Xenopus tropicalis: one gene and its partners. Each later gene encodes a partner of the first gene's protein in a complex. Links are inferred from orthologs where the notes say so. Each region holds a gene or a part of one and is shown in the gene's direction. Other genes may lie near its edges.

Region 1 (11,422 bases):
TGCCCTGAGATTTGTATGGTGTGTTTAACACACAGAACATGTGGAAACTTTTACTTGATGAACTATAATCATTTGTTCATTGATTCCTAATTTGCATCAGTATGTTTACGCTTAACACTTCAGGGCTCTTTTATAAAGGAAAGAGCCTTTTCCTTGTTTTGTGATTATTTATTTTACTTTGTTGATGGAACAGAATGGGGTTTGTTCATTCATAGTTGAATTCTATATATCTGTGCTTTTAGATGGCCCTTTATTATGCAGTAAAACTGTTTCCAGTTCCATAAGAATTGGGAAAAGAAAAACACCGTTACTGTATAACAGTCCAGGAATGTAAAAAACTGGATAGTTTTAGTAAAACAGAACAACCACAGTTTCAAATGCTACAGTATACAGAGCTTGCTTTATTTTTTAAGGCATTGCAATTAACCTGTTTAAGTTTTTTGAAGACTGGATGTTGTATGTAATAAAGCACTGTTGGACTGAGCTTCCTAAGGCCCACCAAAATAAGCTCAATATCTAGGGCCTGCCTAAGAAACATTAGATAAAATACACTAATCAGTATTGGTGCAACATGAAAATATGATGGAAAATGGTTCATGAGTAGAGAACCACATTTAAAAGGAGACAGAGAGAAGATGGAAAGGCATTTTGGCATTTTACTGCCTATAGGTTAGCCACATTAGTGCCACCTAGGACTCTATATATTTTCTGCAGAAAGCTTTACCATACCTGAGTAAAGAGCCCTAATAGCTCCTTCCGTTTAAGATAGTAACTGCCATTTTAGCTTGGTCTTTGTAGCTTCCTGCTGCAGCTCTAACTGTAGCTCAGATCACACATTCCTAAGGGAGGGGGGAGTGAGTTATTATGAATTATTATGGGAGGGGGAGCAGGAGAAGGGAGGGGGAGAGGGAGAGAGGCGAGAACTGCACAGGTTTGTGCCCCAAACCTAAAGGAGCCCTAACAGAGAGGAAATCTGATACTGAAGAACATGTTTACAAAAAAATGAGACAGGTAATCTGTGTTTCTTTTGATAGAGGACTCAGTGTAACTTTTCTGTGAGTGCTTATGGCTGTATTTACATAGACCTTTCTGATACAGCTTACTTAGTTTTTACCTTTTGTCCTTTAACTTTTCAACAGCTAAGTCTCTGGTCCCCGGGACCAGAAGCTCAGTAAGCAGAAGGGCTACCGCAACCCACTTCCATGCCTGCACCTTACCTAAAAGTTTTCTCAGCAGGCCCCCCTGTACTGGCTTGTACTACTTTTAGTACGCAGCCCCCCAGAGTGTGTCTGGGGGGCTGCATGGCCTAGTGCTGAAGCACTATTGCACTTAATGCAGGAGCAGTTCTGTGGGAGGGAAGCATACAGTGGATATTAAAAATCTACACACCCCTGATAAAATGTCAGGTTCCTGCGCTGTACAAAAATCATGGAAAGTTAAATCATTTCAGACCTTTTTCCACCTTTAATGTGACCTATAAACTGTACCACTCAATTGAAAAACAAACTGAAATCTTTTAGGTGGAGGGAAGAAAACCAAAAAAACTAAAATAATGTGGTTGCATAAGTGTGCACACCCTTAAACTAATACTTCGTTGAAGCACGTTTTGATTTTATTACAGCACTCAGTCTTTTTGGGTATGAGTCTATCAGCATGGCACATTTTGACTTTGCAAGATTTGCCCACTCTTCAAATCTGTCAGATTGCGAGCGCATCTCCTGTGCACAGCCCTCTTCAGATCACCCCACAGATTTTCAATCGGATTCAGGTCTGGGCTCTGGCTGGGCCATTCCAAAACTTTAATCTTCTTCCGGTGAAGCCATTCCCTTGTAAGAAAAGGCTTTCGTCTTGCCACTCTACCCCATAGCCCAGACATAAGAAGAATACAGGAGATTGTTGTCACATGTACCACACAGCCAGTACTTGCCAGTCCTGCAGCTCCTTTAATGTTACTGTAGGCCTCTTGGTAGCCTCCCTGACCATTTTGGAGGGACGTCCAGTTCTTGTTAATGTCACTGTTGTGCCATATTTTCTCCACTTGATGATGACTGTCTTCACTGTGTTCCATGGTATATCTAATGCCTTGGAAATTCTTTTGTACCCTTCTCCTGACTGATATCTTTTAACAATGAGATCCCTCTGATGCTTTGGAAGCTCTCTGTGGACCATGGCTTTTGCTGTGGGATGCGACTAAAAAAATGTCAGGAAAGACAAACTAGAGCAGCTGAACTTTATTTTGGGTTAATGAGAGGCACTTTAGATCATGGCAGGTGTATACTGACTCCTATTTAACATGATGTTGAATGTGATTGCTTAATTCTGAACACAGCTACATCCCCAGTTAGAAGAGGGTGTGCACACTTATATGCAACCACATTATTTAAGTTTTTTTGGTTTTCTTCCCTCCACCTAAAAAATTTCAGTTTGTTTTTCAATTGAGTGTTACAGTTTATAGGTCACATTAAAGGTGGAAAAAGTTCTGAAATGATTTATCTTTGTCTCATTTTTGTACAGTGCAGGAACCTGACATTTTACCAGGGGTGTGTAGACTTTTTATATCTACTGTATATAGTCATGGTACATTAATTTAATTTTCACTATGTTATATACTCAAAGTATATAGATATATGGTTATACCTTCAAACCAAAGGAAAGCTCCAACATAATAGCACTTTGTCAAATAGGCCAAATACAAAGGAAGCAGTAGCTATTAAATGGTATTCTCTTTTCTATCATAGGTTTAAAATCTTGCAATATATTACATGGGGATGCTCCACTGAAGTAAAATTGTTGCTGATTTTTGTATACACACTCCTCGTCTAGTTAGTTTTGAATCATATGAAATTTGGCAACAACGGGAACCAAATTTCCCAATTATCTTATATGTTTATGACATTATTGGGGTAAATTTCATTTTCCTTGTTTCTTCTATTGATTGTATCCATTCCCATTTCATTGGTGGAGGGTTTTTTCAATTTCCTAGGAACCAGTGTGCTTGCTGCTTGTAAATACTAATTTGTCTTGGACTATTCTTTTATTTACTCTAACAGAATAATGTTGATTCCATATTGTTGACATTATGAACACCTTTCTCCATCATGCCTCTGGCACTCAGAATACCATTTTTTTTAGACTGCTTAATATTTTTGGCACATGTGCATGTGAGACGTACAACGTGCTGGTGCGTTTTGTGCTCTTTTAACCCGGCACTTCTTCAGGCGACCTAAAAAACATTTTTTCCTAAAAGGATGTTATTTTTGCAATATATTATATGTATATCTATCTATATATATATATATAGAGAGAGAGAGAGAGAGAGAGAGAGAGATACACAAGACATACATTAAGACCATTGATTGCAAAAACATGGTCAGTGATGTCAACTCCATATTATAACTATGGGGCTTCCCTAGTGAGCAGGGCCTGAGGGCCAGTTAGGGCCCAACTGGGACAGATGTCTTTTTGCTCTTCTAATAATTCCTTGAGATCAGTTAGGGTGGGATTTTAAGTAGTCACTGGCTTACTGTCTTAGATATTACTGGAAACGTGGCTTTGATTAAGGCCCCGACCAAATGTTGCACCTTATTGAAATACCCTTAAAAATGTATTACACGATACTAATTCAGTCCCGTTTTTTTTTATTATTTTTGCGTTACGCTAAGAGTTAACTTAAAATAATGAATCGAAAGTCCCTTCAATGGTTCATTTGTTCCATAAAGCAGTAAGGTTGGCAGGCATCTGCTAACGACGACCGAGAGAGTATATAGATTCTTACAGCAGAACAAGCAAACAATTGCCATTTACCCGTGCAAATTGTTGGTAGGCGTGGTATACGCAAGAGGGCGTGGCTTTCTGCTCGACCATCTGAGGGCAGCCTAATCCGTGGCGGGAGCGCGCCGTGTTAGCGCGGGAGCAGTGACGCCACTCTTTGTGCCCGCGCACGCTCGCTCCCTCTGCAGTGTCTTTCTGTGGAAGTAGGGGGGGTGCGCGCACTCGGAGTACGGGGGACGGCGGCAGCTCCACAGAGATAAGGAGTGGGAAGCAGACCCGGTAAAGGAGCCGTCTTACCGGCGATAAAGGATTTTGTGACCTATCTTCCGGTATCCTGTGAGTGCGATAATTGGTGCGTCACAGTGGAAGCCGAACAGGAAGCGGCATAATAGCAAAGCGGATTCCCTCCTGGGGAAGGTGAGCGCGGCCCGTGTTCTATGAGATGGCAACACTGCATCGGGAGCCAGGATAGCTAAGCCACGGCCCTTCGGCTTTTGTCGTACCATGCAGATCGGGGATGCTGGGAGTTATGGTAGAGCTACATTTGGAGGGCCGCAGGTTGGACTCCGACGCTGTGTATAAATCCTGTCTCTCAGGCGCCCATGGGATAATGCACGGCAGGAGGAGGGGGTGGGGGAGCCCATATTGCTGTGTATGTGGGGGAAGGGTTAATGGATGTTTCCTACACGTGTGGCTATGACATATGTTTGCATACAGAGAAAGTGGCTGGCTGCTGCAGACCCCGACCTTTCTCTATTTGTTTTGTGGCTTTTTATGCAAATAATGTTGGCAAAAGGATTATATGGGTGTCTGCTTATAATGGTATGACATGGCAGCCCCATTGCTGTGGGTTTCTGCTCTTTCTTTCCTTCTGTCAAATACTCCCACATTGCATCATCAGCCCTGCTGCACTTGCACCTTATGGGTGTTCGGTGTTGAAGTGGCAATCTGGCAGCTCTGTCTGGCTAATGTAAATAATCAACACACCCTAACCGCATCATCAGCCATTTGTTAACCCCGGTCATTGTCCCTGCCTATGTAGCAGCCTGTATTGTTGCTTCTAGTGTTATTGTCTTGTTGCCAAACCAAGGCCTGTGGCCTAATCCCTCCTGTGTGTTTTCCCCTCCCCCTTTCCTGATCTGTGTCCTAATTCCCCCCCCCCCCCCCCAGAGAGAAATCACTCGCACTATAGCTGCCTTCCGTTCAATTGTACAAATCAAGGGGGTGCTGCTTCTTGTTGCAGACAATGCTTTTTTTGTGGATGTAGTGACATGTGATAGTTGCTGTGTTGTGAATCCTGGCATTTATGAATCCCCCCCCCCCCAGCTCTTGTACTACAATTCCCAACATTTGGCTGGAGTTGTACACCTATTTACATTATTTCCTTGTTGCTTATTATGGTTTAACAACTAGAGGAGGGGTTTAAGCGGACACCCTTAATTTCTTTCTCATAATTAATTATTTTTCATAAACACATGATTTCCAAAACATCCAATGAGAGTTGCATCCTGGGAATAGCACGGATTTAAGTGTAAGAGATGATGATGATGTACCTAATGCACAGTATCCTAGTACTCCTGCCCACATGTCGAAAACAGCGGTATTCATGTTGAGTTCTTGCGATGTAAAGGAATTTTTCTTTACAAACATTTCAGTTGTTGAGTGGTTATACCCTCTCTTTCGATAGCAAGAGTTATCAGTGCAGCCGCTAAGTGTGATGCATCCGGTCATAGCCTTGGAGTTGTTGTAACTGAGGAAGCACAAATGATTTCATTTATAGGTGATTGTTCTGTTTACTGTTTGTGATGCTGCTTAATTACTATAAATGATGCAACATTTGTGGCTTAATGAATTAATCCTCTGTTTTTAGATTGTCTGTTCAACAGCACTCGGATACATGCTTCATTAGGGTACGCACCTTTATTGTATATCTCTTCTTCCTTATGCAGCTCATTTTAAAGATTAAGTGATAAAGATGAGATGCAAAATGGTGCTGCTAACACATTTTTTTTTTTTAATGCTGTATTGAAAATATTTTTTGCTTTAGAGCTTAGAAGCTACAAAAAGCAATACATTTCTTAGAGCTGGTGGGTAGGAAGTTGTGTTGAGGTAAGGGATCTATTTTTTGGATACCCATTATTCTAAAAGCGTTGACATTACACAGTTTCCTCCTCAAGCAGACGGTTACTCACTTTTGATGGATTTGCCTTTCCTCTGCAATAAGACTATAACTGTTACTTGATTTTAAGCTAGCATAAATCCATGTTGGAAATCAATTCTATTAGTTATTTAATGTTTAAAGTGTTTTAAACATAAGGCCATGGTGCCTCATAGTGATAAAACACCCCTTAACCTGGAAAACTCCAGAACTATGAATAATCAATATTAATTCTCAAATGTATTTCTCTTCTGGTGCCCTTTTCCATTTTGTTTACAGTGAGTTTGTATTAACTATTTGCCTAGTGTTTTGTATAGGGATGCATGGAAATTAGCAATTTGGTATTCGTCCGAATCCCTTAATTCTTGGGTATGGATTCACCCAAACCTGGAAGTTCCCAAAGATGAAGTTGGAAACACCGGTGTGCACGCTTCGTGTACAAGGCAAATTTTCTCCACCAGATTAATTTTGGCCAGACTGCTAAAAGTAGCCAATTCAGTGCATTCCTAGTTTTACTTAAGATTATATATTGTTTTTGTTAATCTCTTAAAAGGAAGAAGGTTGTTTAATAAAGAGCTCCTTATATGTAAAGTTGGAAAGGGCTGGCCATGTTTTAGGCTGAGGGTACACAGAGTGTTTCCTCTCCTGCTCTTAGCCTGAGTTTTTTTTTTTTCTGGTTTCGCATTTTCAGATCAATTCTTACTCTGCTCTACTTTGTGTAGCTGGGCAGAGGCGGAAGCTGCACTTGTCAATGCAGTTTTACTGAGGTGCATAAGGGAGCGGATCCACTTCTGAAATAAACACAGTTTTAGGTAGAAATACTCAACGTGTGCCTGCACCTGAGCGTATTCAATGCTTTTTGGTGCAGGCACAAGGAAGGGCAAGCGTAGGGCAAGCGTAGGGCAAGCGTTTTTCGGCTTGCTGAGAATACGCAACGTGTGGCATTAGCCTTATGTGAACTGTTTATTATAGGGTAACATCAGCTGTTTACATTGCACACGCATGGGGCTTGGATAAAATGTTGGTACTGTATGCTTGTGTTCATGTGGGGCCCCAAAGTTTCTGATGGCAAGTCGCCGGCGGGATGGCAGACGCGGCGGGGCGATTCGCGCGAAATCGCTCCGCCGCATGTGCCATCCCGCCGGCGACTTACATGTTCGCCGGTGGGATGGCAGGGGTAGGCAACTCGGGGAGATTAGTCGCCCGCGAACAGGGAGTTAATCGCGGGCGACTAATCTCCCCCCGTGTGCCAGAGCCCTTAGCCCTACAGAGACCATTCTATCTTAAAAAAGCAAACTCCAGATTCCAAAGGGGGGATAGGGGGGTGGTAGCACAGCTTAAAACTACAAAATATATACACACACATATACCTTTTAAAAAAAAAAAAAAATGAACATATGTATGTATATAAGTGTATATTGATGCAGCCAATATCTGCCCTTTGTATGGGCACCTTGAAGGTGTAAATGATGTTGGAGGCATTGGCCACATTGTTTCTAGCAGGGACCCTAACCAGTAATAGTTCTGCCTGTGCTAGACAACAGCAGTGTGACTTATCTAGTATTGGCATTCAGGATCCTCATAGAAGCACTTACTTGTAACTGCAATTAAGTTTGTGATTCCCAGTTTATGCAGATATTAGACTGGTTTTATGTTAAGTTTAAATCCCCTTGAAGATAGAATTTTATGTTGTAAGGGGGTTTGCTTGGAATCTTATAAGCAGCCACCAGAAAGAGTAAAGACTATGGGTCACTAATGTCCACTCCATGTGCCATTGTTTGTCCAAGATAATCTGTTTTTTCATCCACAATCCCATTATTATATTATAGGATTACATGATAGCTTTTCACAGTTGCTGCTGGAGGGGTTTCCATGATGAGTGATGCTTTGAAAATAGTAAAAGTTTACCTTATTGCAACAGTCCCCAACCAATGGTTTGTGACATGTTGTCCCAGTGTCTTAAAAACAGGTGCCCATTTGTAATTTTTTAGCTTGGAGATAAGTTTGGAAGCACAGAGAGACATTTTTACTCCAATCAGAGCCTCCTGCTGTGGCAGCAGTGCACATGGAGCTATCAAGTAGCCAATCACAGCCCTTATTTTGCATCATCAAGGACCTTTTTTTTAATGCTTTTATGACTCGCCAACACTTTTACGTCTAAGCAAGTCTCACAAGTAAAAAAGTTTGGGGATCCCTGCCTTATTATATGTATGTTTATTATGTTTATGGCCCAGCTTTATAATTTACTGTATATCTTGATTGGTTTTATTTCTTTTTGTCTGTGCATCAGTTCAGATTTTGCCTTACCTTTATTAAGCAAATCGGTTGCGGGAGTGTGTAAAACAAAAAGCACTGGAACACTGTGTAAAACATAAATTTAAAAGAGAATGGGATGATTTGCAAATTGTTTATATCCTATATTCAATTGAAAATAGTACAGAAACAACATATTGTGTAGGAACTGATGCCCCTTCTGGTACCATTACATTTGAACTGTGCTCTGATAACAATGAGGATGGCCCTTAATTTCCGTGATGGCATCCATGATTTCCAAAAAGAATTTCAAATTCTTATTTATCAGAATGTCTTGCTGGATGGTACAGATGCATGGTAGAGTTTTTACTTGCATTTAGTATTTCAGGCCAGATATCGGTCGGGCAGGCCCGTCGTTAGTGCCTATACATGGGCCGATTAGCTGCCGAATCGGTCTAAGGGACCGATATTGACAGCTAGAATCGGCCCGTGTATGGGGACCTTAAGTGGCCCAGCCTCTCTGGGATCTGCTCTTTTTGGCCTTACACCCTGTCTTTTGTTGCCTCTGTCTCAATTTTCTTAAAAACATGTTAATGGCATTAAATTCAAAATGAGAATTTGCTTTTCAGCAACACTCCTTGGTTTCACGATATGTTGTCTTTGTACTACTTGCAATGCAATATAGGGTTTAAATGATATGCAACTCAACTTTTTGCAGTGTTCCAACTAAAAAAACTGTTTAATCCAATATGTTAGAATCCATGATAAAAATATTTGTGTACATTTTAAATTAGTATTATGTTTTATTGAGTTTTATTTGTTGATGTTGACTAAAATAATATAGTCATTGTAAAGCAATTATGTATTCTCTTGGTTTTTTTAAGCAGTATCCAATGTCAATTATATTTAGACCTGTTTACCCATAAAATATAACATTTTCCTTATGTGCCATTTTTTTCTCTTTTTGGTATAGTTTGTGGGTTGGATGTTGCCTTCAGGAAGAACGGAGTGCACAGGACAAGAAATCCAGTGTAAAATAGAGGTAGGGCGAATGAAACATGGAAAAAAATATGTGGAAAAAAAATGAGATAGATTTTAGAACAGTAATGCTTTTATGCTAGTGGCACGAATAACTTTCAAAAGCTTATAATATAAAGAAAATTTTAGTTTTAATGGATGCAGAGGTACTTTTTATATTATGGTGTTTCCACTTTCTTGGAATTGCTTTTGTCTAATTTACACTGTGTGTGTGTGTGTATATGTATGTATGCATATATACATGGAACATTGTAACAACACACAACATTGCAGTACCATCAGTGACATAATTTTTATTGGATATCAAAGTTGCTGCTCATTATGGTATAAAACATTTATATGCCCAGTTGCCATCAAGGGACAGCACATTTTAGGAGGAACAGCTATTTGAACTGGTGCTCATAACCACTACTTTTTTGTTTTGCTCTGTGCTCTTCCTGGTAATGGTAATGTTTTAGCAGTAACCTCAATAATTCACTATCATACACCAAGTTAATGCAGAGCACGCTTCCTGCTACCAGTACTACAAAGTGTGCAGCTGGTTTACTATGTTTATTGCATTGTTGGGTAATCACCAATATGTAATAATCTGCATAGCTCCTAGTATGGGTTTGAACAAAATGAGTAATCTCCACCCATGTAGATTAAATGGTACAAATGGAAACCCTTATTTTACAAGCAGTTTTTTACCATGTGCCTGGCCATAATTTGATAGTTTAATTTGTTGTAATGTGGTGCGGTTGTGTATAGGGTTGCCATCCCACGCGTTTTATTTTTAGGGATTCTGAAATAAAATTGTTAAAGGGCTTATATTGTTTGCTTTATTGTTACATAATACAGTGTAGAAATAGGAAATTTGTTGTTTGCCTTAGAGATATTGTATCTAGTTAAGGTTGCCATACCTGGGGAGATATAAGCTGCTGATTTGGGTCTTTCAGACCAATTTGGCATCTTATCTGCCTGTGTATGGGGCCCTCTGACAGGCCTCCCTGACTGATATCTGGCAAAGAATCAGCCAGATGGCAATGGAGCAGGCTTGCTTTTGCCATTCGAGGGTCACTTTGGGGTCGAGGGCTACATTGGTTCGTTGATGCATTCCTCGTTCTGACGGCTCTTATTCCCGTCATTTTTTACATCAGTCTTTGGCCCTAACTATCTAATTAGCCCGGTTTCGGGAGAAATATTCATTTGTTTGGTAATCCTGCCAAAAAAGTGAATTATTATAGATATGGCCACACTTTTCACTCTGTGGTTGGTATCCCACTTGAAATTAGCAAATATTCTGATGCTGTAACATTAGCTTCTGATTGTTTAGCCCCCACATTGAATGATATAGTGTATACAGTGGTGTGAAAAACTATTTGCCCCCTTCCTGATTTCTTATTCTTTTGCATGTTTGTCACACAAAATGTTTCTGATCATCAAACACATTTAACTATTAGTCAAAGATAACACAAGTAAACACAAAATGCAGTTTTTAAATGAGGGTTTTTATTATTTAGGGAGAAAAAAAATCCAAACCTACATGGCCCTGTGTGAAAAAGTAATTGCCCCTTGAACCTAATAACTGGTTGGGCCACCCTTAGCAGCAATAACTGCAATCAAGCGTTTGCGATAACTTGCAACAAGTCTTTTACAGCGCTCTGGAGGAATTTTGGCCCACTCATCTTTGCAGAATTGTTGTAATTCAGCTTTATTTGAGGGTTTTCTAGCATGAACCGCCTTTTTAAGGTCATGCCACAACATCTCAATAGGATTCAGGTCAGGACTTTGACTAGGCCACTCCAAAGTCTTCATTTTGTTTTTCTTCAGCCATTCAGAGGTGGATTTGCTGGTGTGTTTTGGGTCATTGTCCTGCTGCAGCACCCAAGATCGCTTCAGCTTGAGTTGACGAACAGATGGCCGGACATTCTCCTTCAGGATTTTTTGGTAGACAGTAGAATTCATGGTTCCATCTATCACAGCAAGCCTTCCAGGTCCTGAAGCAGCAAAACAACCCCAGACCATCACACTACCACCACCATATTTTACTGTTGGTATGATGTTCTTTTTCTGAAATGCTGTGTTACTTTTATGCCAGATGTAACGGGACACACACCTTCCAAAAAGTTCAACTTTTGTCTCGTCGGTCCACAAGGTATTTTCCCAAAAGTCTTGGCAATCATTGAGATGTTTTTTAGCAAAATTGAGACGAGCCTTAAT
Region 2 (10,842 bases), about 24 Mb from region 1:
GAAATACCTGTCTGTATTAGATTCTGAGACCAAAACAGTTACATATTTGGGTTTTAGTCACAAAGTTTGTGTGGGCCTAGTGCCCCCTCCATTTTTAGTGAGCATGTATGTGTCATATCCCTGTTTCATGAAATCCGTCTTATCTATAAATGCAAATGGAAACTGGAGGAAGAAGGGCCATGTTCATGCAGAGTGCATTTTTTCTCCACAGGATTGGAAAGAAAAAGAATACAGGTCCTTTTCAAAAAATTAGCATATTGTGATAAAGTTCATTATTTTCTGTAATGTACTGATAAACATTAGACTTTCATATATTTTAGATTCATTACACACAACTGAAGTAGTTCAAGCCTTTTCTTGTTTTAATATTGATGATTGTGGCATACAGCTCATGAAAACCCCAAATTCCTATCTCAAAAAATTAGCATATCATGAAAAGGTTCTCTAAATGAGCTATTAACCTAATCATCTGAATCAACTAATTAACTCTAAAAACCTGCAAAAGATTCCTGAGGCTTTTAAAAACTCCCAGCCTGGTTCATTACTCAAAACCGCAATCATGGGTAAGACTGCCGACCTGACTGCTGTCCAGAAGGCCATCATTGACACCCTCAAGCAAGAGGGTAAGACACAGAAAGAAATTTCTGAACAAATAGGCTGTTCCCAGAGTGCTGTATCAAGGCACCTCAGTGGGAAGTCTGTGGGAAGGAAAAAGTGTGGCAGAAAATGCTGCACAACGAGAAGAGGTGACTGGGCCCTGAGGAAGATTGTGGAGAAGGACCGATTCCTGACCTTGGGGGACCTGCGGAAGCAGTGGACTGAGTCTGGAGTAGAAACATCCAGAGCCACCGTGTACAGGCGCGTGCAGGAAATGGGCTACAGGTGCCGCATTCCCCAGGTCAAGCCACTTTTGAACCAGAAACAGCGGCAGAAGCGCCTGACCTGGGCTACAGAGAAGCAGCACTGGACTGTTGCTCAGTGGTCCAAAGTATGTCATTCGGAAATCAAGGTGCCAGAGTCTGGAGGAAGACTGGGGAGAGGGAAATGCCAAAATGCCTGAAGTCCGGTGTCAAGTACCCACAGTCAGTGATGGTCTGGGGTGCCATGTCAGCTGCTGGTGTTGGTCCACTGTGTTTTATCAAGGGCAGGGTCAATGCAGCTAGCTATCAGGAGATTTTGGAGCACTTCATGCTTCCATCTGCTGAAAAGCTTTATGGAGATGAAGATTTCATTTTTCAGCATGACCTGGCACCTGCTCACAGTGCCAAAACCACTGGTAAATGGTTTACTGACCATGGTATTACTGTGCTCAATTGGCCTGCCAACTCTCCTGACCTGAACCCCATAGAGAATCTGTGGGATATTGTGAAGAGAAAGTTGAGAGACACAAGAGCCAACACTCTGGATGAGCTTAAGGCCGCTATTGAAGCATCCTGGGCCTCCATAACACCTGAGCAGTGCCACAGGCTGATTGCCTCCATGCCACGCCACATTGAAGCAGTCATTTCTGCAAAAGGATTCCCGACCAAGTATTGAGTGCATAACTGAACATAATTATTTGAAGGTTGACTTTTTTTGTATTAAAAACACTTTTTTTTTATTGGGCGGATGAAATATGCTAATTTTTTGAGATAGGAATTTTGGGTTTTCATGAGCTGTATGCCACAATCATCAATATTAAAACAAGAAAAGGCTTGAACTACTTCAGTTGTGTGTAATGAATCTAAAATATATGAAAGTCTAATGTTTATCAGTACATTACAGAAAATAATGAACTTTATCACAATATGCTAATTTTTTGAAAAGGACCTGTATATGGTAGATACAGCTCTGCTCCCAAAGCAGAGTTAACTGATGCCAATCTCTTATTTTGCAGGTCATTTGAATTGTTAGTGAAGGATCTTGATGGAAAAAATCACACCATGACTGTGAACAATTTACTAAAGCCAATTTCTCCAGAGGGTAGCACAAAGAAAGTAAGTCTTTCACAGCTGTACTTGCACTGTAAATATTATGCTCTTAAATGCATGCGTATATGAAATTTTGAGACAATTATAAATGCCAGAAACAAAATTACAAATTCCATGATGCCTTGAAATAAGAGGGCTTATTTACAAGAAGGAAGGCAGGGTGCAATGTACAGTGTTTTTAGCACTTTGCACCATCTGTACTGTTCACTTTTTAATCCCTGCATTCTTCACACCTCAGGCTCAGACTGTAATCACCCGCATTGTTCACCTGTTCACACCTGTAGGAGCAGTGCCAGCATTGTGTCACTGTATGTTGCCTGTGTGTCCCATACTCTGTCTAATTTATGCTGTGTGTGCGCCACACACACAGGCAGCATAGGGCAGGCAGAATATGGCACACAGGCAGTACTCTGCCTGCCCTATGCTGCATGCATGTGCCATACTCTGCCTGCCCTATGCTGAATGTGCATGCCATACTCTGCCTGCCCCATGCTGCCTGTGAGTGGTGAACCTGGCAGGGGTTTGTTCTGAAAGTTTATTAGCGTTTGATAATAATTATATGCCGGGGGGTGCTGTGCTATCCACACGGGAGGAGGAGGCATATGGATTTAAGTGTGTTACTTAATATAACATTACATAATTATTTCACATATGAATAAAGGGTAATATCCCTACAGTGAGCACCAACCATTTGGGTTTTTGCTGTGCTACTACCATTAATGTGGGTATGGTCTTGATAACATGGGTGTGGTTTAAAAAGGGGGAGTGGTCAAAACTGGCTTCCATTATCTGTACCACAGACCTTGGACAGCACTGCCTTATAACATCATATGTTAAAATAAATAGGTCTCCATGAATTAATTAATTAGTTATATTAACACTTGTTTGTAAACAGTGCCTTTCCCATTAAAAGTAAAAAGGATGGTGCTCTTGGGTAGGTAATGGAGAATGTTACTACCTCCACTTCATCAGTGGGCTGTGGCCATAGGCTAGGCTATGGTGTAGAAGTTGGTTTTGACCCCTATCTATTTTTTACTATTTCACACCCACACATGGGATGGTTAATGCCCTCATTATCTGCTTAAGTATGGGTGCCCTATTATTTATATTGGCTGTTTCAAGGTTAGGTATTGAGAGGAGACCTAATTAATGACAGAATAGATTTGTCATCCAGAAACTAGGCTTATCACTAACTAAAAAGGTACATTTTCAAAAAAAAGCTTTTAAAATAGCCCCTTTGTGGATTTTCATTGGTATGGCCTGAGCACTTTTGTAGACCCATCAGGCCAACATCTGATCTGGTGCATTGAAGCATATCACCAAGTATATACAAGTTTGTGGCTCATATGAAAGTGTGTGTTGTAGTCTCCTGTAATCAGTTTTAATCCCAAACACATCTTGTGGGCATACAGAAGCTGCAAAATGAGTCCCTACATAATGCCTTGCAGTGCAGTAATCTCATTGGATGCAAAATATGTTCTGAATACATTCAAAAAATTCCTACTGTTTAATATTCTTCTCATATAGGTGAAGACAGACACAGTGCTGATAATGTGCAGAAAGAAATCTGAGAATAAATGGGAATTCCTAACACAAGTCGAGAAACAAACAAAGGAAAGAGAGTAAGTATCTTTACGATTCTTGGATCGTTTACAGATAAATTCAGTTTTTATCACGTGTTCATGCTGGAAGCTAATTTCCTTCAACTAGCACTCCTCAAATGATGGTACCTCCGACGACTCTGTTTTTAATATACTCATGTTCTTTCAATCAGCATGGAAAATACATAACATATAAGGCATTTTCATCTCTGTGAAAGGTCAGCAATTAAAGCTATATGAAAATGGTGTCTGCTTTTGGGAACAAACCAAAGAACTACTGGCTAGGAAGCTGCCTCACTATCCTATTGGCCATCCAAGCTTGTCACTGCCAACATAATTGAGGTTGCTGTTCAAGTTTAGGTATAAATCTATAAAGCTGGCTATACATGCACCAAAATAATTTTAAGAAACATAAGGGCTGACTAAGGTGCGTTAAAACGAGCGCTATTTATAGCATGCGTTAAAAATTTTGTCGCGTCTTAACGCATGATTCACTAAAAGGATACTTGCGTTAATTTAGACGTGATGCTGTTTGCGTTAAGTCACGAAGACTATTTTTGTGCGGTATTTGACGCAACACGCACAAATTGTCATCGTGCGAAAAAACGCTAGCCATACACGCCATTACTTTCGTAAAACTACTTTTTAGAAAATGACCATTTCCCTGCAAACTGGAGGCTGCATCACTCTAGGGCCAACACATAATTACCGCCTGCCCCAAGTAGGTGTTAATTTTCCCATAGACTAATGCGATATTTAGCGCGTCTAAGGGGCACATTTACAAAAGCATGAACGCTCGGAGCGTTCATTCAAACGCTCCGAGCATATTTTTGCCGAATTTTTCGGGCGTCCGCACAACTTTTTCGTACGCTTGCGCGAAATAAACAGGCTTTACCGCTGTTTACAATGGTTCGGTGCGTAAATTTTGTGACTTTCGGATCGCCAATACGATATTATCGTGACTAAATTTTCATTTCCAATCCAAATTTTTCCCATTCGGGATTCGAATTTGTGGATTAGTAAATCTGCCCCTAAGGGGCTGATTTACTAACCCACGAATCCGACCCGAATTGGAAAAGTTCCGACTTGAAAACGAACATTTTGCGACTTTTTCGTATGTTTTGCGATTTTTTCGGATTCTGTACGAATTTTTCGTTACCAATACGATTTTTGCGTAAAAACGCGAGTTTTTCGTATCCATTACGAAAGTTGCGTAAAAAGTTGCGCATTTTTCGTAGCGTTAAAACTTACGTGGAAAGTTGCGCATTTTTCGTAGCGTTAAAACTTAACGCTACGAAAAATGCGCAACTTTTCGCGTAAGTTTTAACGCTACGAAAAATGCGCAACTTTTTACGCAACTTTCGTAATGGATAGGAAAACTCGCGTTTTTACGCAAAAATCGTATTGGTAACGAAAAATTCGTAAAGAATCCGAAAAAATCGCAAAACATACAAAAAAATCGCAAAATACCGATCATTACGAAAAAAACGCAATCGGACTCCATTCGACCCGTTCGTGGGTAAGTAAATCAGCCCCTAAGTGTTTGTGAATCATGCATTAGTATTATTTCTGCGCGCTAATTAATGCAATGCGGTAAAATTAACGCGTTTGGTTGTGCACTATTTAACGCACGCGATATGCAACTTAACGCATGCGATAATGCGCGTTTTTTTGACCGTCAATTTTAACGCAAAAAACCATCCAATAAGCGTTATCGCACTTTAGTAAATCAACCCTATAGTTTCATACAATTTTTGGACTGTGTGTGGTTGGACAGGTTAGAAAATTTCAGGCAGATAATATCTGCGCATGTATTATGTGCATTTGCAGGAAGTCACTTTTGCACGATTTGTGTCTGCCAACTATTTCATGTGCAGAACATCCTCCGATTTGTTATTTTTAGGACTTTATCCTACAATTTCATACTGAATATTAGTTTTTGATAGTTGCATTTAAGCGTATGATCAATATCATTCGGCAGTAGAAGACTAAAATCTGAATGTAGCTTTTTATTTTATTTATTAAAGAAACTACAAACATTCCTTAAACCTAAAGTTTAAACAAAACACAAAAAATTAAAACAGTAATGTTATAATAGCTCAGCTGGACTTCACACTAGTGAAACAACTATGCACAGACGTACTGTATTATGACTTATCTGTGAAATAGGATATTGTAACATACTGTATTTTTTTCCATTACAATTTTTTTTCTGACTCCAAAACCAGTTACCCAAATTTGCTTCCAACTCCACAGCTCTGATTTTTATTGTACAATGGATCTAAGTTATTTTGAAGATTATTTTGATCACTTATTTTTTATATTTGGTGTTCATTGTCATGTTTTTGTATTTTAAGTTCAGTGTAACATAATTTAAATCTTTTTTTTTTTTTTTTAGGAAACCAGCACTAGACACAGATGGAGACCCAAGTGCAGGATTAATGAATGTCTTAAAGAAGATATATGATGATGGAGATGATGACATGAAGAGAACACTTAATAAAGCTTGGGTAGAATCACGAGAAAAACAAATGAAAGGCGATCCTGAATTCTGAACATAGACTTCTCAGTGCTTACGCCTTAAATGATGCCTACGTCCAGGAACAGTCCTCGTTTTAATGCCTGGAGAAATTATCTCTTCTTACAAGTCTATTGTTTACAATTCGCTTTCCTGACATGGAATTCGCTGCTGTTGCATTTCATGCCAATTAAGATTAGAAACTGCATGGTTCATATGCCTGAAACATTCATTTGTATACCTCTATCTTCCTTTCCTAGTAAAAGTTTTGAATGTCTGTCCTTCTGTCTTTAACACTTAACAGGCATATGCGTAGGGAATATGTATACATCTCTCATAAGAGGCTGCTTACAGCTACAGGTGTATTTATGCACCAGGGACGCCGCTCACTTTGCATGAACTTATATGCAGAGTAAATTTGGCCTCAGCCTGCTGTCATTGAAAGGTTAAATGTGAAAATCTGTTAAAATATCAGGTTACAAATTGTTTATTAAAGAGACCCATTTCAAACAGGTGTGCGGGTCTTTGTTTTACAAACTAATGTACCTTACTTGTACACTGTATAGCTTTTCTAGATCAGACAAAGAAAATTAGTGGTGCACTAGTACATACCATTAAGAATGAAAGAAAGCATCAAGAATGTTTATGGGAATCCCTACCCCTACATCCCCAAAAGTGTTGAGCTTTAAAACATTAGAAATCGTGAAAGGACAAATAAGGTTAAACTTAAAAACATTAAAAAAAAAAAACTAGATATAACTATATAAGTTTAAGAGGCAGAACTCTCACCACTTAAATGATTTGTAAGTTTCAGAAGTGCTCAAAGAAGCAAAGTTTACATCAATTCATTTTTTGGCTTTAGATCCCCTCTAGGGAGGATAGACCATACAATTCTGCCCCATACTTTCCCACTGCCACTGTTTAGTTTCCATCTTTATGTGCCATTCACCAATCTTAAGGGAGAATGACTTGTGATAAATTCAACAAATTACAATATTAAAATGTTAAAAATTCTACCTCAATTATCTGCAATTCTCTATAAGAATCCTAACTTTTCTTTCTCTCCCTCATGTGGATCAGGGGATGTGAAAAATGGAAGATTGTTTTGACACTTTTTACTCATTGGTAGTGGATATGTAACCCTTCAATAATTTTGGAGATGTTTGGTACAAGTACTAAAATAAAAAGTACAAAGTTTCTTATGTTTGCAATAAAAGAAAATGGTATTTAGTCTTGTTTTGTCTTTCAGCATAGATTCTCCCGTATTTTCACCTCCCCCAGATGTCTCAACACTCTTCTTGTGTTCTGGCAGTTTCAGTGTTAATGAATTTAATTAGCAATAGTTTTAGCAACTCTAAAGTTATGGATTCTATGGAAGATGGCCTTGCCTTAATTTGGAGCTTTCTGGATAACAGGTTTCCAGATAACTGATCCCATACTGTTTCACTGAAGCAAATTCAAAATGGAGAAATATAAACTACTAAAAAAAAAAAAAAAAAAGGTCTTTATAGCATAAATTTCCATTCAAAAGGATTCTCTGCAATGTAATTGTTGCTTTTAATACAGATTTTTTTTAAATACATATAAATAAGCCAGGTTTTGTCAAGAATTGTCAACAAAGAATGCTCTTATGATACTTTAATTAAAAAAATGTCCTTAGTAAATGGTAGCCCAGTAGCTTCGACAGTTGGCCCTCAAATCCTGTTCCTACCACATGGCTCTCTGAATGCCAGACATTTGGTTGTTATCGGCTAGATGACGGAACACAATTCGACTTAGCCGCCAACGTCTTTTTACACCCCGTGGTCGAGAAGTCAGGACACAGCGATTACGGATTCTTACAGGGCAGCTATCTACTGGAAATGCAGCAATTTCTTTATCTGCCACTTCCTGTGAAAAAAAGAGAAACAGATGATTTATTTTTCCCCAGTTTAATAAATGTTCAAAAAGACACAAACATCAGAGGTAAGCTGGCCATATACTATGTGTAATTTTTGGCCAATGAGCCCAAGGGGTTCTTGATCAAACCTGCCCAATCAGATCCATGTGTGGCCACTTTTAGACTGATCCTTGGTGAGACAATTGGCTGCTGTAGTATCACATTAAGCTTTATTTATCAACTTGTATAATGACCAGCTTCTTCATTTACTATCTTGGCTGTGCTTTGAAACAGAATAAGTTATAAACATGCACCCAAACTTAAGAACATGTTAATAATTACAATTTCTTGCCTTACAAAAGCATAAGAACGACAAATGTACACCATATAAAAAAAAGTTACAGGGAGTGAGAGCAGATAGATTAATGCGTACTTAGCATTGAATTATTGTGTGCATAATGTTGTGGGATTGTTATTGTAACAGCTTGAGAGCATTAACCCCCACATGTAATTAAAGGCACTAAGTTTGCCCAGGAGCAGTAACCAATAAGATGTTTCCTTTTATACAGGTAACCAGAAAATTCTACCTGCTGATTTATCGCTATGGGTTACTGCTCCTAGGTAAACTTAGTGCATTTTACTGCATAACCCCTTCAATTAATTGGCATATGCAACCTCTAAAGCATGTGTGTGATCACTATAATCATTTTAAGGAGTAGGATATAAAGTTGTTGTTTGTGATCACCCAGTAGTCCAAACCAGAGGAGAGGAACAACCTTCAGATGGTTAGAACAGGTGGTTTGTAGCATCTTGGTAACCGTATTTTTCAAAATCAAACTACCAACTATAGTATCTATAGTAAATATGGGGCATTTGCTCCGATGTACTGAATTGCTTAAATAAAATACCCGCAGTTCTTTAGGGAGAATAATGTTTTTCCGCAAAGCATTGACTCTCAATCTCTCATCAGCGTATTCATATGCCATTTTCCTCCTTTTAACATCCCGAAACATCCTCCAGTCAACGTAGTAATTTCGGACTTGATTTGTACAAGTTGCAGAAGGCCAAGGAAACAACTGAAAAAAAAAAAGATTTTTTTTAACAGTACAGGTATGGAACCTGTTATCCAGAATGCTTGTGACCCAGGGTATTCCGGATAAGGGATCTTTCTGTAATTTGGATCTCCATAACTTGAATCTGCTTAAAATCATTTAAATATTGACTAAACCCAATAGGGTTGTTTTGTCTCCAGTAAGGATTAATTATAGTTAGGACCAAGTACAAGGTTCTGTTTTATAATTACAGGAATCATAGAGAAAAAGGAAATCATTTTTAAAAATTAGAATTATTTGCTTATAATGGAGACTATGGAAGATGGCCTCTCCGTAATTCGGAACTTTCTGGGTAACGGGTTTCCGGATAAGGGGTTAGAATTATCGATTAATATTGTAAAGTATTTCTGGGGCCATACATATCATAATCTACTTGTTTGGCCATTCTGATAACAAAAAAAAATGGATACTTCTGCATTTTGGCCACTGAAGTGTAAGCCAATTCCAGATTGTCACTCTGGGCCTGCTACTGGTACCTTTACGCGTGTTTTCTCTTGGAAAGGAAAAAATGTTCATCCCTATAAGCTACTGTAATGAGTCCCTAGCGTGGGTGGTGAGGGATGTAATTAATAATAAAACAAAGTCTACAGCATTTGGAACAAACATTCCTCCCCAAAAATGCATTTATTTCAAAGTTTTCCAATACCCTAAACATAAATGGCTGCTGCATATGTACCATTTAAAAATGATCAAACGCACATGTTGGCCAAACCAAACATATTACTACTCTTCTATATATTTATAATATAGTACCTGGCCACGCTCTTGAAAAAGTTGTAATGTTAATTAGCAAGATAAAGGCGTATAAACCTCCAGTGAAGAAAATATAAGCCACATGTCATCACTGATGCTATTTGAGAGGCCCCGCTACTCCTATTTTACATGTAAACAGGCCTTATTGGGGCGCTTAGTATCTGGCATAGGTTCCCAGACATGGGACTTTTATTCACTTGATTATAGGAAATACATTTTTTTTAATTATAAGTATTTAGCTGCCCCCCATTCAAAGTGTTTATTTGGCAAAAACAAAAGGCTCCATATAACTTGTGAATATATAACATTGGTGAAATACCCCAATGCTAGGCTGCACGGAGAGTAGCACTACCTTCCATAATTCAAATAAACAATACTAGAGGACTCTTATTTTCTTCAGTTATCCCTGAGATTCTTCCGCTGCCGGACTTCCAAGGGCAGGGACCCTATTGCGTGTGAGTGCCGCTGGTATCACTACACCCTTTATTTAGCTCTACTGATTTACTCATTGTCTTCCTCCCCGCAGCCCTTTATGCCCACCAGCCTGTTGTCAATGTCATCGTCCCATTTACCTGCCGAGCGCTTCGAAACACACTCCCCAGCATGGAAGCCGCCATCTTGTTTTTAGACGCTATTCAAAATCAAGCAACTTTGTTACTTACAAGCGGCGTGGCTTGTATAGACTTACAATGGTGTGAACTATGCCATTGCGCCAGTAGATGGCAGCAAGCTTTAAGATTGTAAAAAAATCCGCTGAAGGTCATCCGCATTCGAATTTATATATGAGGCGTTAGAAGTTGGAGCTTGAAGCATTTTGACCCAATTTGGGCCTCGTAGATTATAAGGCTGGCACAGTCTGAATGTTATTATATTTATTCTAGTAAGTGCAAAATGCACAGTTAAAACAATTGTGTAGCATTTTGCAAATGGAAAGAGGGACAAAAATAAATGCTGCAGCCTGTGGTGCGATTTTTTGACCATGTCCATTTCTGTGACCACACCCCCTAAA
Region 3 (10,842 bases), about 63 Mb from region 1:
AGCGCTATCTATCTACAGTGTAGCGCTATCTATCTACAGTGTAGCACTATCTATCTATCTACAGTGTAGCTCTATCTATCTACAGTGTAGCGCTATCTATCTACAGTGTAGCGCTATCTATCTACAGTGTAGCACTATCTATCTATCTACAGTGTAGCTCTATCTATCTACAGTGTAGCGCTATCTATCTACAGTGTAGCGCTATCTATCTACAGTGTAGCGCTATCTATCTACAGTGTAGCGCTATCTATCTACAGTGTAGCGCTATCTATCTAGTGTAGCGCTATCTATCTACAGTGTAGCGCTATCTATCTACAGTGTAGCGCTATCTATCTACAGTGTAGCGCTATCTATCTACAGTGTAGCACTATCTATCTATCTACAGTGTAGCTCTATCTATCTACAGTGTAGCGCTATCTATCTACAGTGTAGCACTATCTATCTATCTACAGTGTAGCTCTATCTATCTATCTACAGTGTAGCGCTATCTATCTATCTACAGTGTAGCGCTATCTATCTATCTACAGTGTAGCGCTATCTATCTATCTACAGTGTAGCGCTATCTATCTATCTACAGTGTAGCGCTATCTATCTATCTACAGTGTAGCGCTATCTATCTATCTACAGTGTAGCGCTATCTATCTATCTACAGTGTAGCGCTATCTATCTATCTACAGTGTAGCGCTATCTATCTATCTACAGTGTAGCGCTATCTATCTATCTACAGTGTAGCGCTATCTATCTATCTACAGTGTAGCGCCATCATCTATCTGTTAGGGCTCAGCAGCATCAACTCTGTATGTACAGCCTCTTTGTAGTGGAGAGACTAATATTGTATGCTATTTTAACCATAACTGATGCACCCTGGATCATTATCCCCCACACTTTGTTATTGCACAATATTTTGTTGTATTGATATATTAAAGTGGGCAAACTATATTGCCCACAAGTATACTGGCCCTAGTAATAACAACTGCTACTTCTACATGTGTGTATATTCTCCATAGTATCCCTGCCGTGTCAGAAGCACTGTACTTATCCCTTCATAGAGACGTCGCCACAAAACCTAAAGCACTTTGCATTAACTAGGGCAACTAGAACAACACACCCAAACTTCCTTTTAATCATATGTTAACTATATATATATATAATATACACTTTATTTTGCTCTTGCTGAAGGTCCCTGTGGTGGCAGAAACATTGAGACACTATGAGGCATTATGTCAAGAAATCTGATTGATTTGTTCTTTAAAACAACAGTTAGGGATGACATTTTTTGTTTTATCTCAAATACCATTTCTTGGGCACCCAGGTTAGCTCTTTGGAAGTGGTGTGCACCATTTTTCTTTGTATTGTAGAGTGTGATATGTTGCTAACCATTGATTGATTAAAGGAGAAGGAAAGGTAGAAACTAAGTAAGCTTTATTAGAAAGGTCTGTGCCAGAGTCCGCACAGCTCTCTCCTCTCTCCTGCTCCCCCCTCCCTCAAGAATGCTAAGAACTCCCTCCCCCCCTTAGGAATGTGGATCTGAGCCAATCAGCAGGAAGCTGACTCATAGTCTTACTAACTGAGCATGTACACTGGTCTGGGTCTTGGTGCAGGAGTAAGGCATTATGGGAACTTTCTTTACAGAGCTCAGCATTTTTTCTTCCTGTTTGGCTTCTGAACATCTGAACAGGTGAAATATGGGGAGACTTAAAGGTACTATTGAGAGAACTGAAGGGTATGCCTGCAGCTTGAGATTAACTCTTTATTAGCCTTTCCTTCTCCTTTAAAACAGCAAAATGTTGATTAATTGGCTCTAAGCAAACCTTTCCTAATCATGGAAGGAGTATGGGAGAAACAGAGCAACCAGGTAATATTAGTAAGTAGGTTATAGTAAAAAAAGAAAAAAAAAGAATATATAGAACATTTTTGAATTAAAAGAATGGGCATAATATTTTTTTTAAAAAAAGGACAAGACATTTAGTTTGCTTATATATGGTGTATATTGCCCCTTTGAAAGGGTAGTTTTTTTTTTTTTAGTATACAGTATTGATACTTTGGCAGCGATACTTTGGTTGCTGGGGACTTGTGTACCCTAGCAAATAGGCAGTGGTTTGAATGAGACTGTGTTGGGTGGGGGCTTCTTAGCAAATTTTGGTTCGGAAGCCAGAGTTCCCCTTTAAAATGAGTTTCATTTTCTCCCGTCTCATGTTTAGAAGCAGCTCAGTGAGCCAGGGCACAAGTTTCTAAACTTGAAATAAACGTTCCGTTAAGGGGCTGAAACTGCGGTGTCTGGGAACTCATGTTTTTAGATATCACAGCTTCGGCCCCTACTGCCCAACTCTCTTGATGTTTGTAAAGTCTGTAACAGAGTAACTGTAAACATTGAAACATAAATGCCGGAATGTTTCTTTCTGCTGTAATGTATCAAATCGTAACTGATTATGTCTGTGACCTTACTGATCTGTCTAGCAAATAAGCTGGTTTTAAAACCACTTCAGTCCCTGGTTTAAGAAGTGTAAACAACTATTGAGTTTAGCCCAGTAGTTTGTTGCTAAGTTTCACTTTGTAGCTTGCCCTAGTATGTGTGAATACTGTTGGGCTATGATAATAAGATAATAATAAGGATACACACCCAAGCGTTTGCGTAAGTTTGAGACTTGCATTCTCAGGTTTAATGTCAGGGACTTATTAGTAAGGATGCGCCAAATTCAGGATTCTGTTCCGGATTCGACCAAGGTTCAGCCTTTTCCAGCAGGATCCAGCTAGGGTCTGTGCAGTTCTAGTTATGCTTTAACAGTGCAACCGTTCATGGACTACAGGCTTATAAAAGCTGAAGGGCTATGGTGTTGGTTTTGTAGTTTTTAAAAGAGAAGGAAAGATAAAATCACTGGGGGTGCCAAAATCTTAAGCTACTCAGGGCTGGTGTGGTTTTCTCCTTAAACAGGAGGACCAGCCTGGGGTATAAGATGAGCAATTACAGTCACTTGGGGTGCCTAGCATTTTGGCACCCCCCCCCCCCAGTGATTGTACCTTTCCTTCTTCTTTAGCTTGAAATATTACCTTAATGTTTTGCTTATGTTGGGTGACTACATGCTTTGGTTAATATCATGATGAAAGCATATTTTTAAGCATAAATATGATTACATTGATATGAGTTTGATTTTTTTTAAGATTTTAATGAGATATTAATATTAATCAAATATGTTTGTATTATTATAAAAAAAAAGACACTATGCTAATTAATTCTATTTGTTTGCAGATTATTTGTTCCTTAGCAAAGAGTTTACCCACAAAGAGTCGCCAAGATAGCCGGCCCAAGTAGAAAACGGCGAACCCCTGACCCAGATTCCGTTACAGATCCCGGGGGCCCATCTGTTTATACAAAGCGGCAGAAGATGTCACATCCTGCCGAGGGTGCCAATCAGAGAAGGGTGACTCGGGGCACGGCAGATGCAATTAATAGAAAGAAACAGAAAGATAAAGCCAACCAGGAAAGCAAAGAGGGCAAGGCACCGACAAATGCAGGCCCCCAAAAAGGTATTGTTTAAATACTGTCATAGGAAAACGTGTTTTTTCAACGCATCGGTTAATCCTGCATTGAAATCCATTTTCCAAAAACACAAACAGATTTTTTTTTTTTTATAAAAATAATTTTGAAATGTCACATGGGGCTAGCCATATTCGTCATTTCCCAGAGTGCCACAGCCATGCAACCTGTGCTCTGATATTTAGAAATAACAAGTAAACCACAAAAATCATGACCTTATCCCTTTGATCTCTTTGATGCATTAACCTCTGAAACATGTTTCAACAGCAAGTAGCAGCAATCAAAAGGTACAATATGCAGTAGCCCCAAACAACCTTGAAAGTTCTTTGTGACTGCCCTATTGGGATTGTTTTAAAAGGGAAATGATATGCCGTTTATAAGTAGCGCTTACATTTGCTTCCCAATTTTCTCGTCAAATACACAGACGGCTTATTAAGTAACATCTTTATGTACATTTGAGTTTATAATCTGTTGGTGTTTTGATTATTGCTGCCAATATCATGTCAAAGGAAAATGATATGCAAACTTTTAATAGCACAGTACTTTCTTTTCCAACATTACTGTTTTTGTTCAAGTCGCCAAGAAAGGAGTGGCTTGGAATGCAACAAAACAATAACATACATTTTATAATACTTGTATGCTTTATTTTAAATAAGTATAAATTCTAGCATGCTGATATATCAGCACAATTTCTAACCACTTGGAGATTATCATTATTCAGCAAATATTTACCTTTATAGAAATATACTACAGGTATGGGACCCGTAATCCAGAATGCTTGGGACCTTGAGTTTTCCGGATAAGGGATCCGTAATTTGGATCTCCGTCTGCTAAGAATCATTTAACCATTAAATAATCCCAATAGGATTGTTTTGCCCCCAGTAAGGGGTAATTATATCTTAGTTGGGATCAAGTACAGGTACTGTTTTATTATTACAGAGAAAAGGGAATCATTTAACCATTAAATAAACCCAATAGGGCTGTTCTGCCCCCAATAAGGGGTAATTATATCTTAGTTGGGATCAAGTACAGGTACTGTTTTATTAATACAGAGAAAAGGGAATCATTTAACCATTAAATAAACCCAATAGGGCTGTTCTGCCCCCAATAAGGGGTAATTAAATCTTAGTTGGGATCAAGTACAGGTACTGTTTTATTATTACAGAGAAAAAGGAAATCATTTTTGAAAAATTAGAATTATTTGCTTATAATGGAGTCTATGAGGAAATTGGCTTTCCGAAATTCGAAACTTTCTGGATAACGGGTTTCCGAATAAGGGATCCCATACCTGTACTAAATTAAGGGTAGAAATTACACTACCCCACTTTTCTGTTTCTAACAACATAATTTGTGTATTCTAATCCACTGAGATAAACGGTCTTGAACCCTTATTTCTCTTTCATTGAAGTGAATGAGTAAAAAGGTTGTACAGGTACGGGATCCGTTATCCAGAAGTCTTCGAATTACAGGAAAGCCATCTCCCATATACTCCATTTAAATCAAATAATTACATTTTTAGAAGTTGCTTTCCGTTTTCTCTGTAATAATAAAACAGTATCTTGTACTGGATCCCAACTAAGATATAATTACCCCTTATTGGGGCAGAACAGCCCTATTGGGTTTATTTAATGGTTAAATGATTCCCTTTTCTCTGTAATAATAAAACAGTACCTGTACTTGATCCCAACTAAGATATAATTACCCCTTATTGGGGGCAGAACAGCCCTATTGGGTTTATTTAATGGTTAAATGATTCCCTTTTCTCTGTAATAATAAAACAGTATCTTGTACTGGATCCCAACTAAGATATAATTAATCCTTATTGGAGGCAAAACAATCCTATTGGGTTTAATGTTTAATTTTTTTTTTTTGCAGAATTAAGGTATGATCCAAAATTATGGAAAACCCCAGGTCCCGAGCATTCTGGATAACAGGTCCCATACCTGTTATATGATGGTGCCTTAATTCTGTTAATGTGGGTGATACTCTGATACTAAGTAATATGGCTGAACTTCCTCCATATGTTTTTGATGTTGAGGTCATATATTTAGTATGATGGGATTTTCCTAATTCTAGCCAATTACAACAGGACTATCCGCAGTACTCATGCACACTGGCAGTTTTGAATATACTGAAACCAAATGGTCCAGTCTCATTAGTCACGTCAATCATGCACTGACCTCCATGTGGTTTGCATGCTGATTTTTTTGTACTCTAGTCCCTATTGGATTATCAAGGTTATGGTATTCGGCAAATGTAATGGAACCCTGATACATAGTCAGACAGCACGAGCTGCTTTGCTGAGCTGATCAGTGACCTTGAATTCTTACTGCACTTTCCCATAAGTCAGACCCGATTCAGCTAGCTGCCATAAGATTGTGTAGTGTGCATATGGTGCCTTATCTTGACATGCATACTATTATTTGTTTGTTGATCAGTGAAGGGAGTAGTATATTTGCTTGAAGCTTGGGCTAAACACCTATGGAACTAGGCTCCACCCCCTTAGTTGCTTTCACTTAGTATTTACTGGTAGTCTAGGCTTAATGTTTATTGAGATGTTTAAAAGCAATGTTTATTTTTCTCTTTTGCTGTGACTTGCGCATCATTTTAGGTTGTTTTCTCATAGAATATAATTTTATATCCAATTTATTTATTTTTTTATGACAGACATTGTGATTGACTGGAAGCAGAATTCAGAAGAAGTCATCGTGAAATTAAATGCTGGATCAAGAGCTTTAAATGTGGAAGAGCTGAATGCTGAATTCACAGATACAGATTGTGTTATTAGCTTCCCAGGTAAGCACTAAATGACCACAAGAATCCCTTTCTAATGGACTTTACCACCGATTGCAGCACACTGACCCAGTGGGAAACAATTCTGCTTCCCTACACTGGGGTGGATTCCATCTTGGGCACTGGTGTCCAGGTACTTCCTGTCTCCAAATACATTCAGGCAGGTTAATTGGCTCCTTATTAAATTGACCCCAGTGTTTGAGAGTTTAACAGGGACTTTAGACTGTAAGTTTCACTGGAGCATAGAGTTATTATATCTGCTTAAATGTGTTGGTATTTTATAATATGCAGATAATAATAGTAATAATAATATAGACAATATAAGAGCTGCCATGCTCAATACATTAGAAGCAGAATAAGCACACAAAACATTACATTTATTTTTAATATTTGCATTATTCCTACAAGAAAATGTGATCAGATTATAGAAAATTAAAGATAAATACTACTTCTAGAGAGAGTTTAGTCCCTGTTTGATTACTGATATTTTTACATTCTTGTTATATTTACAAGAGGTGGCCAAACATAGCTTATTCAGTTGGACAGTTTGCCTAGTTCTGGGGGCAGGTTTGACAGATGGAAGACTGCTGGATAGCTGATCTGTCTAGACTGAAGGGAGTAAATTGTGGCAAAGGTACAATATCTTAGACAAGTCAGTATGTGTATTGCTGTGTATTTACTGTGAGACTGGAGGGGACTATATCACATACATATTTTCTTTTAGAAGGCCAGCAATGGAAATGCCAATTTCATGAGGAAATTGAAGGTTCTTGCAGTAAAATTCAATATAAAGAAAAAGGCAATATCTTGCAAATCATCCTTCAGAAGAAAATTCCATTTAACAAATGGCCAACACTTCAGGTAAGGCTGCTTGATATTTTCCTAAATAATTTTGGGCTCTTAAACTTTCCATTTAGGAAAGAACCAATGAAAGGTAGACATGTTATTTTAATTCTGATTGTAATTTTTGTAGGTGGCCAGAAGAGGGTACTCTTGCATTATCACAGTTTTTGTTACTTGAAACAGTTGATAAAGCAATGGCTGCAAATATCTTGAATATTCAAGGTGCAGCAGTGCCATCACCACGCTCAGATGTTGTGGGGGTAGCACATTGTTTTGTTGGAATTGCTATAGCATGCTAAAAAATACCAACCTGACATTTCAGTGAGCATCAGAACTCATTATTCTCTCTGAAGAATGGGAACTGTATTTTCAGCCTGCTTTAGCTTTAAAAATAGAGCAATTTCTAATAAACAAAGTGACATTGGGTCCTGTGGATGTCACTAAAGCATAAATTAGTATTTAGGTAGCTGTCAGTATCACTTGATATGATTCATGCAGCCTACATCTCTACAGTATCCAACATTTATGCTTGTACCCTGAGAAAAAAGGGGTGTTCCCCTCTTAAGTATATGCTGCTGTTAGCTAAAGGCTATAAAGACATAGGTTCTGTACAGTATACTAAATGTGTTGAAAGCTCAGTGTGAGAGTCCGTTAGCCAGGGAAGTGCCCTACTGCTTTATTAACAGTTTGCTTCTTTATTTGTATTTTGGCTTTGTTTACACAGAAGAAAAAGAAAGAGTCCATGAAAGAGCAAGTAAAAGCTGGTGCCCTTATGGAAAATGGGAAACCTAAAGTGTCTTTAAAATTACCACTACCTGACAAATCCCAGACCCAACCATCCGAGAGCACAGATGCACGAAAGGGTAAACCAGACCATAGGAGTGTGAGAAGAGGACAAGAAACAACAGAGGCTAGCAGTGGAGTGAAGAGCAGCCTTACAAGGAAATCCATATCTACTGCAGTGCACAGTGGAGTCCAGATGAAAAGAGGCTGCCATAAATCTGCCTCTGTGATCGCAGGAGGGGATTCCAGTCCACAGAGTCAGAAAGTTGCAGGCTCTGAGGACCTTTCCAGCAGAGGACTAAATAAACGGAATGTCCAAATCCCTTCTGGAAATGCAACTTGGGCAGGACACAAGTCTGGAGACAGCCAAGCAGAGCTGCAGAATGCACAAAGGGACCAGGTGAGCTGCTGCTTTGGGATATGTTCATTACTTAAAAGTGACTTGTATACAGGTGCAAAGGAACCTGCTGACTTAGAGCTGGAGTTGGGGTGCCTCTTACCAACATCCATGGTGAGCACCATGCACGGCAAAGTGCATCCAGAATAAAGAATACCTTTGATTTTATTTACTTTCTGCCTATTTGTCTAATCTAATTGATAATTATTTCTTGTGTTTCTGTAGCTGCTATCAAGATGTTCTCAAGGGGTGGTTCACCTTTAAGATATTGTTTACTATGCTATAGAATGTACTGTTCCTCGCAACTTATTTTTTTATAGTTTTTGAATGATTTGCCTTTTTCTTCTACACCTTTCTAGCTTTCAAATGGGGGTCACTTACCCCAGCAGCCAAAAAAAACTATTGCTATGCGAAGTTACCATTTTATTGTTATTGTTACTTTATTCCTTATATTTCTGTTCATTCCCTCTCCTTTTCATATTTAAGTCTCTTTTTCAAACCAGTGCCTGGTAGCTGATGTAAACAAGGCCCTAGCAACCAGGTAGCTGCTGAAATTCCGAACTGGAGATCTGTGCAACAAAAAGCGAACTGAAAAATAACAAAATATGAAATCCAATGGCAAATTGTCATAGAATATCACTGTCTATATCATACTCAAAGTTAATCTAAGGGTGAACAACCCCTTTAAAGTGATAATGACACATTCCTGTAAAATCCATAGGAATGTGTATTACTTGGGGAGTGTACTGTAAACTATTGAAGCAAAATGCAGGGTTAAGGTGTCCATACACGTTAAGATTCGGATCTTCACCCGATATCCCCACCTACGGGTGGGCGATATCTGGGAGCGTGTAGGCTAATTCGATTGTTTGGCCCTGGGGCCAAATGATCAAATTATATTGGCGGCAATGGGACAGTCTGTTCGGGGACTGCATCAACGAGCCGATGAGGTCCCCGATCCGACTAGATTTTCTAACCTGCCCGGTTGAGATCTGGCCAATTTCAGGCCAGATAACGGTCGGGCAGGCCCGAAACGGTCTAAGGGACCGATATCGGCAGCTAGAATCGGCCCGTGTATGGGGGCGTTTAGGGATTTAGCAAAATAAACAATCACAGCCCTTATTGGTCACCCCCTAGGATTTTTTTTTCATGCTTGTAAACTTTTCCCATGAGTACCATCTTCAAAGAGAATAATGAAGTCTGCTACAAACTCCTGTATATAAGGGCGAAGTGCCCTGGTATGCGGCTACCTCGGGCTCAGGAACACATAACAATGCCAAATGCCTGATCAGTTTATTCTGCTGTAAGCATTGGTGTCAGTTAATTGGGTACAGACCCAAAGGTCAGCACAAAATCAATTTAAATTTGTATTGCTGTAAGGTAGGACTAGTAAAACTGAACTGCGTGACAACTATGTTAAGCCCCCATGGATACAGAGTCGTACAAAGAGGAGGCAATGTTGTTTTGTGAGTAATCACTGGCTGGGATGACTACTGCTCTATAATTATACGGCTTTGTACAGCAGTGCAGAGTCTGATTACACAGTGGTTATGTAAAGTGGAGCCGTTTCACTTCTGTCCTCCTCTGCTCTTTTTTTTATAGGTTTTCTAACCCTCAAAAAAAAAAAAAAAGGGGGCAACAACAATTTTGTTAAAGGGGAAATGTACCCACCTGTAAAACTTAAAGAGAAGATATACCCTTTTTCACATTAGCTCACTCATTCAGTTGTTCTTATATATATATAAAAAAAAAAAAAAAGCTTCATAAACACTGAATTTCAAACTACTAATTCCACTGATTAAAAGGGGGACCATTTCCCCACCTTTAAACTCAGAAGCTTGTGCAACCCCTCCCTCATCTTTTTTTGTTGTGATGTAAAGAATTCTGGGGGACTGTCTGCTTTCCAGAGAATCTGTGCATCACCTTCTATGGAAAGTGGAGATGCTTCAAGTCCCAGAATCCATCACTTTACAGTAAAACAGGTTGAGAGAAGAGTTTGCTAACTCATGTCAGAAAGCTGCACTTTCCAGCCCATACCCAGACAGAACTGAAGGTTACATTCCTGGTAAATATTCATACCACCAGTTTAAGACCTGCTGATATATTGAAATTATGAAAAATTGCCCTGAAGCATTTTAGCTTGACCTCAATAGCTTCTGTGCTGCAGCTCTGGCTGCTGGTAGCTCAGATTCCACAGCACAGTTGGGAGGGGAGCGAGTTCAGATAGGAGGGGGAGAAGCAGAAGGGATGGGGAGAGAGGAGAAAGAAGCAAACTGAGCAGACTCCTGCCATGCCCTGAAGGATTTTTCTGAGAGCAGGAAGTCTGACACAGAAGAACATGTGTACACAAGAGAAGAAAAGAAAATCCTGTTTTTCTTTTGATAGAGGACTCTGCAGCCTTTCTGTGAATGTTTATGGTTATATTTACACAGACCTTTCTAATAAAGCTTAGTAAGTTTTTACCTTTCCTTCTCCATTAATATCCTGATCC

What was found.
Region 2: the proteins of siah1 (region 1) and cacybp are in contact, whole or in part, in a crystal structure (PDB 2A25), measured with the Homo sapiens proteins. The link is inferred for Xenopus tropicalis from reciprocal best matches to the Homo sapiens genes SIAH1 and CACYBP. Residues at the interface, in NP_003022.3 of Homo sapiens: Leu158, Gln159, Asp162, Ile163, Val164, Phe165, Leu166, Ala167, Thr168, Val176, Asp177, Trp178, Val179, Met180, Asn276; in NP_055227.1 of Homo sapiens: Lys59, Pro60, Ala61, Ala62, Val63, Val64, Ala65, Pro66, Ile67.
Region 3: the proteins of siah1 (region 1) and usp19 are in contact, whole or in part, in a crystal structure (PDB 4X3G), measured with the Homo sapiens proteins. The link is inferred for Xenopus tropicalis from reciprocal best matches to the Homo sapiens genes SIAH1 and USP19. Residues at the interface, in NP_003022.3 of Homo sapiens: Cys130, Pro131, Thr156, Leu158, Gln159, Asp162, Ile163, Val164, Phe165, Leu166, Ala167, Thr168, Leu172, Val176, Asp177, Trp178, Val179, Met180, Asn276; in NP_006668.1 of Homo sapiens: Lys463, Pro464, Thr465, Cys466, Met467, Val468, Pro469, Pro470, Met471.

What each region holds. Positions count from the first base shown.
Region 1 is NC_030680.2:74,032,399-74,043,820, forward strand, and holds the start of siah1 (E3 ubiquitin-protein ligase SIAH1), read left to right. Parts: upstream 1-3,979; 5' UTR 3,980-4,188; exon of another isoform or gene 4,189-4,329; intron 4,330-5,646; exon of another isoform or gene 5,647-5,681; intron 5,682-9,155; 5' UTR 9,156-9,224; intron 9,225-11,422. UniProt on the Homo sapiens protein: E3 ubiquitin-protein ligase that mediates ubiquitination and subsequent proteasomal degradation of target proteins.
Region 2 is NC_030680.2:98,118,428-98,129,269, forward strand, and holds the end of cacybp (calcyclin-binding protein), read left to right. Parts: intron 1-1,876; coding exon 1,877-1,976; intron 1,977-3,497; coding exon 3,498-3,592; intron 3,593-5,969; coding exon 5,970-6,126; 3' UTR 6,127-6,595; downstream 6,596-10,842. Other genes in the region: mrps14 (28S ribosomal protein S14, mitochondrial), read right to left, coding at 7,797-7,979, 8,877-9,044, 10,406-10,450. UniProt on the Homo sapiens protein: May be involved in calcium-dependent ubiquitination and subsequent proteasomal degradation of target proteins. Probably serves as a molecular bridge in ubiquitin E3 complexes. Participates in the ubiquitin-mediated degradation of beta-catenin (CTNNB1).
Region 3 is NC_030680.2:137,486,272-137,497,113, reverse strand, and holds part of usp19 (ubiquitin carboxyl-terminal hydrolase 19), read left to right. Parts: intron 1-3,247; 5' UTR 3,248-3,383; coding exon 3,384-3,525; intron 3,526-6,202; coding exon 6,203-6,331; intron 6,332-7,052; coding exon 7,053-7,189; intron 7,190-7,895; coding exon 7,896-8,354; intron 8,355-10,842. UniProt on the Homo sapiens protein: Deubiquitinating enzyme that regulates the degradation of various proteins by removing ubiquitin moieties, thereby preventing their proteasomal degradation. Stabilizes RNF123, which promotes CDKN1B degradation and contributes to cell proliferation.